Mus musculus: one gene and its partner. The main gene of each other region encodes a partner of the protein of the gene in region 2 in a complex. Links are inferred from orthologs where the notes say so. Each region holds a gene or a part of one and is shown on either strand. Other genes may lie near its edges.

Region 1 (6,905 bases), on a different chromosome or scaffold from region 2:
AGAATGCTTATCTAGCATGCATGAGGCTTAGAGTTTAATCCCCAGAACTGCATAAAATGAAAATAGTTCACATGCCTATAACCCTAACACTTTTCCAACAAGAGGCAAAAAGATTAGAAGGTTCAAGGTTATCATTGGTGGTCATGGCACACACTTTTAACCCCAGCACTCTGGAGGCAGAGGAAGGTGGATCACTGAGTTCAAGGTTGACTTGTCTACATAACAAGGACAGCAAGGACTACACAGAGAAAACCTGTCTTGAAAAACTAAATAATAATAATAATTTTTATTTTTACTGACTATAAACCAAGTTCCTAGTTTGAATGGTAAGGAACAGGACCTGAACCCAAGTGAGCATCCTTATGTGTATCTCCCAAGGACCTGACGGCCCCTATACATCAAGGACTTTATCTGTTAACTTGCAGATGAGTTATATTTCACCCTGATCCTTCACCACAGAAAAGTCAGCTTACTATCATATAGCAAAGACCTTCAGTACACACAAAATTCATGCTTGCAGCTGGGCAAGTCCTGCCCTTAATCCCTCCAGCGATGTCCACACTGAGCATTGCAGCACTTATAGAAGGTGGTCATTGGCTCGTCTGCAGAACGCGTCTGAAGCTGCATGAAGTAGGCACGGGGATGTTCGCATTTTGGACATGGCTCTGACAAACAGAAAAGCAAGTTATCCACATTACAAAAACATTAAGTGTGGGTAAACATCTCATCTCCATGCTCAGCTAGACTCCCTTATGGTCTCCCTTACTCCAGCTAATGGTGAGTTTGCCAATAGCAACATCCTTCCCACAGCACATCAATAATAAGGAGACTAGAGAGACCTTGTTTTATAAAAGCAACAAAAGCCTTGAAATTTGAAAATGAGTAGATGTTTAAAGGTTTTTTTTTTGAAACCCCCTCCCCTTCTATCCCTGGGTTTCACTTCCCTTCTCAAATCTGGTTGAAGAATGGCTGGAAAAGCATGGGAAGGGTCTATTATAGTCTGTTTGTGGGAATGTAACAGAAATACACACCCACTGAGGTAGCACACAGCTATAATCTAGCACGTGGGAAACTGAAATAAGAGGCTTGCTATAAAGCCAGCCTGGAATACATAGGGAATTCTACCTTAAAGATAAACAGATTAAAAACAAACAAACAAAAATTTTAAGCCTCTACTAATTCTCAACTTCCAGGGCTTTTGTTGCTTTTATAAAACAGGTTCTTGAGGAAGGCCTCAAAGTCACTATGTAGCTAAGATAAAATTGAACTCCTGATTTTCCTGTGTCCATCTCTCAGTTGCACTACCACACCTAGCTAATGATAACTGTTAACATAGAAGATCTGTATATTCCTCTATAGAGGAATCACGCACTGCTACTCCTTCTAAAACAGCTACTATTTAAGGTCATCTTCTTTCATTCCATTATCACATTTAAGTCTATCAGACATAAATCAAGATGTAAACATTACTTTTTAATACCCCCAGTTGCACCGGGCATGGTGGCGCACGCCTTTAATCCCAGCACTCAGGAGGCAGAGGCAGGCGGATTTCTGAGTTCGAGGCTAGCCTGGTCTACACAGTGAGTTCCAGGACAACCAAAGCCATACAGAGAAACTCTGTCTCGAATTTCCTCCTCCCCCCCTTTTAATTTTTTTAACATTATTTTATGTGCATGTTTTGCCTTCAGGTATTCCGTGAATCATGTTCATGCAGTACCCTTGGATGCCAGTAGAGGGCATGAGATCACCTGAAACTACAAGTACAGAAGGTCTGAGCTGCTATGGAAGTTGGGAAGGAAATCCAACTTAACCACTGAAATCCTACCCAACTATTTCTTGGTTGACAGACTGACTGAGGCAGGGTCTCATGAAGCCCAGATAAGCACTGAGCCTTCTGCCTATACCCGGAGAGCACCAGAATTATAAGCTTGAGCAACCATGCTTCACCCCTAGTTACAATTTTTTTTTAATTCATATAATAAAAAATAAAATGAAAATAAAAGACCAGGGCTGATCATTTTTTCAGTGTTGGTATTTGAAAATACATACAACATAACTCTCGAGAAGCCTACACCTGCTAGAGCATGGATCTCTCTTTCCCTCTCAACAGCTATGTTTACATCAATGTTGAAACTTTTTTGTAATGAACTCCAATTTTGCTTCAAGAAGAGAATATGCACCAGATTTATTTTTAATTATACTTTTCCATATCTGACTTGAGAGTCTAAATGAAACAACAGTTCAGGTATCCGTATGGTAACTTTCCTTTAAAGAATACTTGAAAGAATCTACTTTAAAAAACATTTAATACAGCCAGGTGGTGGTGGCATATGCTTTTAATACCAACATACGGGAGGCAGACAGGTAGATCTCTGAATTTGAGGCCAGCACAGTCTACAGAGCAAGTTCCAGGACACCCAGACTACACAGAGAAACCATGTCTCAAAAAACAAAATCAAACAGCAACAAAAATGTAAAACCTTGTTTAGAGTTAGTGACAAACACTAGCTATTTGTCATTACTTTGTTATTTACATCTTCTTAAATTCTTTTACACTTACACGTACGTACGTGTGTGTGTGTGTGTGTGTGTGTGTGTGTGGTGGATGGTACAGAGTCACAAAAAAAAAGTTTCCATCAGTCAGCTCTCTTCTACTCTCTGGGCTCCAAGAATCTAACAGGTTTGGCAACAAGTGCTTTTACCTGCTGAGCCATCTCACTGGCCCTAATAACAGACAGGGTTACATTATAATAATAAATTTATTATTATTAAATATAATAACGAGTAATAATAAGCAGGGTTGAGTCCCTAGCTCTGTTATGGGAAAATCCTCACCTGCAGTAGAGTCCACATTCTCCCATGCAGCTGCTCCACCAAGCACGTCGTCCACTTCTTTTAGCTTTGGATACTTTCGGTTTGTTACCTAATAGAAACAAGACATCAGATTTGAAGTAATTGTACAGTTTTACAAGTGGGCCACCAAACTACAATCTCCCTCCAGCATTCCCTCTACAAAATTTATCTTCTTCAAAGAGCAGTGTGAGTCACTGAAATGTAGGGGTCTTGTGACTGGGATGTCCCCCAAAACAGCACAGAGGTTCAATGTCAAAGGTCTCTAGAAACAGAAGGAAACACCAGACAGAGCAGGAAGAAAAATCAGCCTAGTAAAACCTCACTCTTCTCTCATACCCCTCAGACACCTAATAATCCAACAGGAGTGACAGACATTTAACTGGGTATACCAGCACTCCCCAGGTCATTTTGGCTGCTTTCCTAAGTTTATCAGGCATCCTTCTAATTTCGAAATTATGTCACAACTCATCTTACCACAAATCCAGACTCTAAACTCCTACCATACAGCTCTAATGAGCAAACATTAAGAATGAGATGTCACCAAGGCCCAGTGGTGCACACCTGCAGTCACTGAGGTAAGGAGGAACAAAACAAGAGTTGAAGGGTACACAAAACACCAAGGGCTAGAAATACAGCTTTCTGGGCTCCAACACAAGCACCACACACACAAAATAGCAACAAGGATATAAAATATTAGAAGGCAATGCATTCTGTGAAAAATATAAAAGGAATGTGGATAAACTGAAAGTGCTGGGGTTTGGTTTGTTTCCTGTGCCTGTGCGTGCGTGTGTGTGCGTGTCTATGTGCTATGCAGCCCAGGTGAGCCTTGAACCTATTCTCCTGCCGCAGCCTCTCCAAGTGCTAAAATTATAGACATGCACAAACAGCCAGAAGGGCAGGAATCTAAATAAGGTAGCCATTATTTTAAAAGAGGAGAGGGAGAGAGAAAGGAAGAGGGAAACAGAGACGCATACATGCACACATACACGGGGGTAGGGGGTAAGGCGGAGAATGAATAAGTGTGATATGTGCCTGTGTAAGAATGACTCGGGCAAAAGGAAGGACCTAACAGTACTGCGTACATGGTGAAGATTCTCTAGAATAACGACAGGGGCTGGGAGCAAAAGAGCCACAAGAAGAACCCAAGGATTTCAAATCAGAGGCGAGGCGCGGACTGGTACGCCAAGGACAGCACGAGGGGAGTGTAGGTTTAAAAGGTATGAACTAAAATTCTCACAATTTTCGGAGTATCACAAAGTGGGCAACGGAGAGCTAGAGGGGGGTGGGGGGGCTTCGACGTGGCCGGAGCGACGCCACTGGAGCAGCGACTGCTGGACTTGGGGTACCACCGCAGCGAGAGCACAAAAGCCTGCAGGAAGGTCTGAGCGCGCCGACGCTTGCTGTGCCTCCCAGAAAGCAGAGAAGGCACCCGTCTGTGGAACTTACCTTACGGGTGATATTATGGACGTAGGGGCAAGTGTTGCAGGCGAAGCGATGGCAACGCTGCCCCTCCTCCACAATGAGTCCGTTCCCGCAGCCCGGGCAGAACAACAGCATACTGCCAGCTTCCACACCTCGCTTCTGTCTGGCGCTTCCGTGGTGCAGGCGCCCAATCAAAAGCCGTCTCACTTGCTCCGTAACTGGCAACCCGGGATCCTCAAGACGTTCCCAGTAGGCACTGCGGCGGGCAGCCTCGCACACTCCATTGGTCACCGCAGATAATCCTTTCCCATCCAGCCAATAGCATGCTGCCTGCACGCCCAGCCCTGTCGTTTCTGCGCGTGTGCACACGTCTCCCTAGCTGAAACGCCAAGAGGACTGGACCGATAATGCTGGCACCACCAGAGTACCCAGGTGAGAGGTTCTGGGTGATGAGGAGACACTTGCCGCACTCCGAGCCATGGACGTGTTACAGGAGGATCATGCTGCTCCGCAATATTCTCATCCGGAACGGACAGAAAATAACCAAATGTCCCAGGAACACTGTCCCCATTGTTAATACTACGTCTCAACTGCTGTCTGACTGACGTACGATATCCTATCTGGACCTGCCATTCCTCCATCTGGCCATTTCTTCACCTAGTTTCATTCTGCCCTTTCACTTACACAGCTAGACTCAACCCTGCAGGTAACAAATACCAGCAGCTCCTTTTCACAGACGTCCAGCTGACTCTTTTATCTCATTTCCTATAGACATTTATATTTCCCAGCTCTGGCTTCTCAGATTTCTTTGAAACTCCTTGCCTCTTTAATCCTCTGCAGTCATTCTGCAACATGCACATGTATGTGTGTGTTGTTTTCTGTTTGCTTTAACTATACACAAACTAAATATCCAGGGAGAGGAACCCCAATTGTGAAAATGTCACCATAAATTGACCAGTAAATAAGTCTCTGGGGGCATTTTCTTGAGTTAAAATTGGTAGGAGAGGGTCTAGCCCATTGGGGGCGGTGTCACCACCAAGCCAGTGGTCCTGGGTGATATAAGAAAGCAGAATGATGGGGCTGAAGAGATAGTTCAGCTGTTGCTTGTTCTTATAGTGAACACTGGTTTAATTCCCAGCACCAATATGGTAGCTCACAAACGTCCATAACCTCCAGTTCCTGAGAATCCAATGCCCTCTTCTGACCTCCGTAGGCACCAAGCACGTCTTTGGTGCACGAACAAGCATTCAAAAAAAAAAAAAAACAAACAAACAAAAACCCTCATACACTTAAGTAAGTCTAAGAACAAAATGGAGAGAGAGAAAAAAGCAATCTGAGAATCTGAGTAAATCATGAGGAGCAAACCAGTAAGCAGCATCCCACCATGGTAATGGCTTCTGTTTCTGCAGCAAGTTCCTGCATTGACTCCCCTAAACAATGGACTCTTGACATGTAAGCCAAATATTTATGGCTAGTTTTGTGTCAACCTGACACAGCTGGAGTTATCACAGAAAAAGGAGCTTCAGTTGGGGAAATGCCTCCATGAGATCCAACTGTAAGGCATTTTCTCAATTAGTGATCAAGGGGGAAAGGCCCCTTGTGGGTGGGACCATCTCTGGGCTGGTAGTCTTGGTTCTATAAGAGAGCAGGCTGAGCAAGCCAGGGGAAGCAAGCCAGTAAAGAGCATCCCTCCATGGCTTCTGCATCAGCTCCTGCTTCCTGACCTGCTTGAGTTCCAGTCCTGACTTCCTTGGTGATGAACGGCAGTGTGGAAATGTAAGGCAAATAAACCCTTTCCTCCCCAATTTGCTTCTTGGTCATGATGTTTGTGCAGGAATAGAAACCCTGACTAAGGCAAATTGGTACCAGCAGAGTGGGGTATTCCTGTGACAGCCTGACCATGTTTTGGGGAGGACTGTGGAAGGACTTTGGAACTTTGGGCTAGAAGATTCACTCAGTGTTAAGAGCTCTGTCAGATGTTGTGTAGGAGCTTGGAAGATAATGTTGAGAACAGTGCAGAAGATGGAGGCCTGGCTTGTGAAATTTCAGAGGGAAAATTAAAGACTCTTCAGAGCCATTGCTATTTTGGAGTTTGATTATTCTGTGGTTCTGGTTAGCTGGAGCTGAAGAATCAGCTGTGATTAACAAGATACCAGAACTACTAAAGCAAAATCTTTGCATTACTGGCACTATTGATGCTGGTTAGCTGGAGCTAAGAAATTAGCAGTGATTAAGAAGAGACCAGCATCGTTGAGGTGACATCTTCTGGGAAGTGTTTTCTGAAAGCACAAAGAAGTTGTGTTCCAGAGATAACCAAGGTTGTACTCCTGCTGCAGTGGGACTTGGTAATGTGTAAGGGTCACCCAGGTGGTACTGGTTTTGAAGGCATGAAGGGGTCACGCAGAGCAGCTGAGGCTCGGCACTGTGAGAGGCCATGGAAGGCCATTGGTGAAGGTGCAGCCTCAGTTGCAATTGACAGCCCAGGACTGAAGGGGTCATGCAGTGTTTTGGAGATGCCAGTACCATGAGATGACCACCAAGAGCAGCAGCAGTGGAGTACAGGCATCTGGAGCCTAGAGGATGACGTGTGTGCTACAAAGGGCATAGCTGAAGAAGTGGCCCAAGCCCTT
Region 2 (6,966 bases):
ACACTTGGTTTCTTTTCTTTTTCTTTTTTTTTTTTTAATTTGGATATTTTCTTTATTTACATTTCAAATGTTATCCCCTTTCCAGGTTTCCCTCCCTCCCGGAAACACCCAATCACATCAACAGTGGGGAGGTGGGAGTGGGTGGAGGAACACTTGGTTTCTAAATTCATTTTCTTCCCCTGTAGCCAGAGACTGAATGGTGAAAGGAAAGGTTCACAAGTGAGGCCTAGGCGCCAATCACTTAAATCCTTATTTGATGTATTTATCTAATACATTGATTTTTTTTTTTTCTCAACCTGTCAGACTTTTTCAAGGGAAGGTGTGTGGCTGGGAGAAGAGGGGTTGAACCCAGAGCTTCACACACACACTGGTAAACGTCCACTACTAAACTTTAGTCTCAGTCTTCTAATTTCTATTTATTTACATATTTACTTCTTGAGGACAGACTTGATAGTTTCCCAGTGTGGACTTGAGCCCTTTCTACAGCCTAGGCAGGCCTTGAATTTATATCCTTCTGCTTCAATGTCCTTAATAGATGGGACATGGCCCCAGCTCCCAAACTTTGTGAATGAAGAGTTTTTTATTTCTCGATTTCCTCATTACCCAAATTTGTTTAGAACGGCCTAATCCAACTCAGTCATTTACTCAACTAGCTTTGATCCTTTTGGTCAGGCACCGAGCAACTCTTAATTCTTCCTTCAAAGCATCCGCTCCTTTGAGATATGTTGGCATCTCTATATACAATAAGTGACCCATTCCAAGGCTTCATTATTTGGTCCTGGCTAAACGAAGAATCACAGTAGATTCAACCTCCTTGCTTTGTAGAAGAGGAAATGGTTATAAAGGTCATCTGATCTCATCTCAAACAATTCCTACCAAAGGTGAGCGTACACAGGCGGAGGAAGGCCTTTCAATGCCCTACCTATATTTTACTTCTGGGAACACATGTCTAAAGTCATTGACAACCTATTTTTTTGTTTGTTTGTTTTTCCGAGACAGGGTTTCTCTGTAGAGCTCTGGCTATCCTGGAACTCACTTTGTAGTCCAGGTTGGCCTTGAACTCAGAAATCCGCCTGCCTCTGCCTCCCACGTGCTGAGATTAAAGGCGTGCACCACTACTGCCCGGCAACAACCTATTTTTTTAATCCCAGATCAATGAGGGAAATTGGCAACTGCAAAAAGTTCTGAATTTCAAAATCTTAAAATGTGTGTGGGTATGTGCGGAGAAATGCAGGTGCCCAGGCAGGTCAGAAGAGGATGCCAGGCCATCAGGGCTTGTGAGCCACTCGCTGTGGTCGCTAGGAACTGAACTCGGGTCGTCTTTCCAGCCCCAAATCTGAAATCGAAAACACTAGATCGACAAAGCAGCACTGCCACCATCACCTCAGGATGCTGCCTGACTGCCAGCTCAGAGTCCTGCCTCAAAACTTCCGTTCAGAATCTGTTCCAAGAGATCTGAAAATGGGCGTTGTTCAAGTCTCTCCAAACCAACTGTACACATAATCTCCTGGAAGATGGTGCGCTCACCTCTGCAATTCTTCCTAGATCTAAAATGTTGTGAGTTATAATTGTGACTGAAATGTAACATCCTCTTGTACACACAACCTTGCTCATTTAAATGTTCAAGTAGCTGGAGGCCAGGGGAGACAGCGAAAGCCAAGTCACAGTATCTTTCTGAAGAATGACCTAAACTTGCTCTAATCACGAGCCTGACTCATTCCACTCTGGCTGTCTCCTTTGATCACCTAACAGAAGACTATTAGCAGTGTGTTCTCTATTATTCCCCTTTTTTCTGCGTTAGCTCAGGCCTTTAACATCGACCCTCTGAAACATCGTAGGCATTTTATGTCCAGATAATTGTTATGTCCCTAACAATTCATCTCATCAATTTAACAGAAGGCTAATCGTCTGATATGTCATTCTCTTCAATTAACAGAGCTTAGGACATTTAACTTCTGCTTCTCACCAAGTAACTATCCACTGAGGTCTTGATAAAGACCCAACTCTAAGCCTAACCTCTGGGCCAAACCATCCTCTCACTGTTGGAAATACAGAGGCAAACAAAATAACATCTCTGCTTTTAATGGAGTTTACGATCGAGTATGGGAAGTGGGCAAAATATACTTTAGAGAACCTGTCAGAACCTGATAGGTGGTGTGAAAATGAAGCAGGAACCAGGCCAGAAAAACTAGTTGAAGAAGTTCTGCCTCTCTCAGGACTGTCTGAGCTTAAATGTAATTACGATGAGAAGCAGAGTCATACTGAAAAGTAGAAAACAAAGTGTCATTGGGAACTGTAGGTCCAAAGGACTCTAGAGCCTGCCACAAGCCAGATAGTCATCTCTGAATTCTTTCTGAGCTTATGGCCAAGAAACAACACTGTGCCATCTTACCGAGTGGCCCCCTTCTGCAGCAAAAACAAAGTACAGAGGGCACTGTGTTTCTCTGCAGAAAATGCATTCGATAAGGCCAGTGCAATCATTCACTAGTCCATCTATAAGTAGAATCCAATTTTTGCATTTTTTTTGCATTATATAACAAGTATTTGTGTACAGGTGTTAGCTTCCTCAGATTCTCGAGAACTCACATCAGACTTTTTTTTGTTTTTAAACAGTTTTCTGCTTGTCACACACCATTTAGCTGAGGCACTCGTGCTAAGAATGGTCCCAACTGCATAACCGATGAGATTAGCAAAATACTCAAAAGGGCAGTGACCTGCTCCTACACCCACCAGAGAGTTTTGGAGTGTTGGAAGTACAGTTCTCCCTCTAGGAAACTTATTAGGAGATACCACAGTAAGAATCTTCCTAATTATCCTTTATAATGCTCTCCCGTGGGTCTCTTTATAATTTCTGAAGGTTAGTCAAATTCTCAAAGGGATTTCTTAATCCGAAATAGATGTATCAATAGCTAGTGGTTGGGTGCAAGCGCAGGGACTTGATACTGACAGTGGGGGTGATTTCTGGTGGCTTGCAAGGCCACACCCAGTCCCTATCCACTTTTCATGTCCCCTCAAAGTGCTCCGCCTTTCCTTAAGCTCTAACTTTCTCTGCTCTCTTCAAAGAGCAAAGAACCACCCAGAACTATGACGGCCATTTAGGTTTTTCTTTTTAAAGAAAAATTTTATCACCAACCCCTCTCCTCACTATCAAGGGTGCCAACAATTAAGAAAACAGAAGCGACGGTAAGTATGCCCTTATCAGCAAACTGCCGCCAAACTTTGAATGAAGAAAAAACACAGTCGTCAGATTTGCATAGTCTTCTCTTGTAAGAGGATAAACTCCCTTCTTTCTCACTGAGAACAAACCCACCGGAAAGCTGGGAGATCTGGCTACGAAAACTTTAAACGGTTTGGAAGACCGCAGCAGCAGCTTTGGGGAGGTAGGGATACTTCCCAAAGTCACTCCAGAGGGGCTTTCATGAATGTTGGCTCCGGATACCCGGCCACCACGTTCTCCACGTGCCCCATCAACTCCCTTCTACCCTCTTCACCTCCTGCCCAGAACGGGATAGCTTCCAGTTACCTGCTAGCCAAGTCTCGAGGCTTGAGCACACGGTGCAGCAGAGGAAGCAAGAAAGCCGGCAGCCCCTCCAGCAAGGAGCCGCAGATTCTACCTCCGGAGTAGCGCGCCCCACACCGCACGCGGCTACGGCGCAGCAGAGCGCACTGGAAGCCCCGCCCACTCCCGCGAGGCCACACCCCCGGAAGAGAGCTTTTTAGCCCTTGGCAGGCGCCGTAGTCAGCCTCCAACAGGCTCGGCCTCACTCTGGGCTCCGGCGGCGAGTGCACAGCCCCCCGCTGCCCGTGTGGGGGCGGTCCTGTGTGTCGCTTCCCACGCATCTCTCCCGGCCCCTGCAGTAGAACCCCGAGCAGGGCAGCATTGCCCGGTGTCTCCTCCCCGCTTCAGCAGCCTGCGTTACTGCCTTGGTGCTGCGGCTGCAGAAGCTGCGGCAACTGGGGTGCAGCCTGCGCTCTGCGGCTCGGACGGGAGGGCGCGGAACAGGTGATCTGGGCAGTGTCGCAGCGTCCTATCCACGCTCCCTTCCGCATCCCCGCCCCTCGATCGCACCTCCTCCGGAGCTGAGAGTAGCTCCTCCGGCTCTGCAGCAACAGCAGCAGCAGCAGCAGCAGCGAGTCCTGGACTGCCTGTGGGAGGCACACCCACCTAGCCCGGCCGCACCCCTGCGCAGCAGCATGTCGGCGCTCGAGTGGTATGCCCACAAGTCTCTGGGCGATGGCATCTTCTGGATTCAAGAACGGTTCTACGAGTCAGGCAACCGGGCCAACATTTGGCTGGTGCGCGGCTCGGAGCAGGACGTGGTGATAGACACTGGCCTGGGGCTGCGCAGCCTTCCGGAGTACCTCTACTCCTCTGGCCTCTTGCAGGATTGCGGGTCTAAAGAGGATGCAGGACGCCGGCCACTGCTGGCCGTGGCCACCCACGTGCACTTCGATCACTCCGGCGGTCTCTATCAGTTCGACCAGGTGGCTGTGCACCGCGCCGAGGCCGAGGCCCTGGCTCGCGGGGACAACTTTGAGACCGTGACCTGGCTTTCTGACAGCGAGGTGGTGCGGGCGCCCAGCCCTGGCTGGAGGGCCAGGCAGTTCCGAGTGCAGGCAGTGCAACCCACCCTCATTCTGCAGGATGGTAATGGGCCCCGCGGGCGTGCGCTGTCACTGAGGGAGGGGCTTGGAGAGCGTGTACAGCATGTTACAGACCTCCTTGGCACTGTTGGGGTACAGTGCGGGAATACTCTGTTTCACCCTTTGCTGCGTGGAAGTCAGCTTAAGCAGAGACTAGGCCCTGGCAGGCTTCTCTGTCCGGAGATGCGCGCTGCTGCTGTGTGGCTGTCTCTTTGAAAGCTCACACCATCCCCAGTCAGTCAGCTACAGTAGTAACACTGCAGAGACTTGTGACTGGAGATTTTCCATTCTTTTCCCAAGTACCGGTTGAACATTTTCAGCTTTTGTAACGAGTAGGCTTTTAAGCAATGGCACCTTGGGAAGAGTGTTAGGCTCTGTGCTTTGAAAACTGCTGACTTCATCTGCCTCCTCACTTCACTGCATAGTGCCTATCCGGTCCACCTGTAGGCTTGGAAAGCTTTGGTTCCGTTTCATCCATCCTGACCTTTCGGATGGATTTGTTTGCTTATTGCCTCACAAGAAAAAAAAAAAAAAAGGCTTGACAGTGAACATAAAATATAGAAATATGACAAATATCTGGTCTGGATGAGAGCAAGGCCTAGGAAAGATCAATAAGGGAGTTGTTTCCGGTGGAGAAAGTGTGTGTGTTAATGAGGACTTCATTCTCTTGGTCCTAAGCAATTGATAGATTGGAGCAAAATAGACAGGGTCCCAGTCCCTTTCCCCTCATGCTGGAACTGCACTAACTGAACTGATTAGCAACAGCAGCAATATTTGATTTATCAATTTTATATTTTTGTCTTAGGATTTATTTATTTATTTACATCCCCAAAACTACTCCTGCTCCTGCTCCCTCCCTCACAGAGTCTCTCCTCCCATCCCCTCTTCTCTTCTCCTCCGAGAGGGTGGAGGCCCCTCTGGGTACCCCTCCCCCCAACACAGCACATAATCAAGTCTCTGCCAGATTAGGTGCATCCTCTCTCACTGAGGCCAGATAGGGCAGCCATGGAGCCTGAGGTGCTTGCCTGCTACCTATGTGCCTGGAACCTCTTTTCAGTCTGTGTGTTCTTTGGTTGGTGCTTCAGTCTCTGAGTGCCCCTAGGTTAGTTGACTCTCTTGGTCTTGCGCTGGAGCTCCCTTCCCCTTCTGGGCCTTCATTCTTCCCCCAACTCTTCCATAAGAGTCCCAGACCACCGTCCAATGTTTGGCTGTGGGTATCTGCATCTGTTTCAGTCCACTGCTGGATAGAGACTCTCAGAGGACAGGTATGCTAGGCTCCTGTCTGCAAGCATAACAGAGTATCATTCATTAATAACGTCAGGGATTAGTGCTTGTTCATGGAATTTTTCTATCCCTGCATTTCCTTTAGACAGGATAAATTTGGGGTCAAACTTTTGTGGGTGGGTTGATGTCCTTATCCCGCCACTGAGAGTTTTGTCTGGCTACAAGAGGTGGCCTCTGCTAGTTTCATGTCCCCACTGTTAGGAATCTTGGCTAAGCTCACCCTCATTGACTTTCTGGGAGCCTCCTCTATGGGACACCCTAGAGATTCTCCCCTCCCCCAACTTACACCCCCATCCCCACAGCTGAAGATTTACATTCATTCTCCTGGCCCTCTGACCTTCTCTCCTGTCTATCCCTGTACTTGATCCTACCCCACCCCACCCCTCACACCATTCTGTGTACTTCTTGAGTACATACCATGCATGTCCTTTTGGGTCTGAGTTACCTCACTCAGGATGATATTTTCTAGTTCCATCCATTGGCCTGTAAAATTCATGATGTCCTTGGTTTTTGGTTTTTTTGTTTGTTTTTTGTTTTTGTTTTTGTTTTTGTTTTGAGACAGGGTTTCTCTGTGTAGCCCTGGAACTCACTCTGTAGACCAGGCTGGCCTCAAACTCAGAAATCCGCCTGCCTCTGCCTCCCAAGTGCTGGGATTAAAGGCGTGTGCCACCACACCTGGCTTGATGTCCTTGTTTTTAACAGTAGGGTACTATTCATTTGTGTAAATGAACCACATTTTCTGTATTCATTCTTCAGTTGAAGGACATCTGGGTTGGTTCCAGTTTCTGGCTCTTATGAATAAAGCTGATATGAACATAGTGGAGCATGTGACCTTGTGGTATGTTGGAGCATCTTTTGGGTATATGCCCAGGAGTGGTATAGCTTGGTGATATAGGTAGAACTATTTCCAGTTTTCTGAGAAACAGACACATTGATTTCTAGAGTGTTTGTCCAAGTTTGCAATCCCACTATCAATGGAGAATGTTCCTCTTTTTCCACATCCTCTCCAGCATGTGCTATTGCTTGTGTTTTTGACCT

Evidence for each region.
Region 1: Polr3g (region 2) and Polr3k share a complex: the UniProt entries of both Homo sapiens proteins name them as parts of the RNA polymerase III complex. The link is inferred for Mus musculus from reciprocal best matches to the Homo sapiens genes POLR3G and POLR3K.

Annotation. Positions count from the first base shown.
Region 1 is NC_000068.7:181,861,964-181,868,868, reverse strand, and holds the start of Polr3k (DNA-directed RNA polymerase III subunit RPC10), read right to left. Parts: upstream 4,510-6,905; 5' UTR 4,411-4,509; coding exon 4,300-4,410; intron 2,924-4,299; coding exon 2,836-2,923; intron 666-2,835; coding exon 538-665; 3' UTR 1-537. UniProt on the Homo sapiens protein: Core component of RNA polymerase III (Pol III) which synthesizes small non-coding RNAs using the four ribonucleoside triphosphates as substrates. Can mediate Pol I proofreading of the nascent RNA transcript.
Region 2 is NC_000079.6:81,707,335-81,714,300, forward strand, and holds the start of Polr3g (DNA-directed RNA polymerase III subunit RPC7), read right to left. Parts: upstream 3,680-6,966; 5' UTR 3,524-3,679; intron 1-3,523. Other genes in the region: Mblac2 (metallo-beta-lactamase domain-containing protein 2), read left to right, coding at 4,195-4,648. UniProt on the Homo sapiens protein: DNA-dependent RNA polymerase catalyzes the transcription of DNA into RNA using the four ribonucleoside triphosphates as substrates.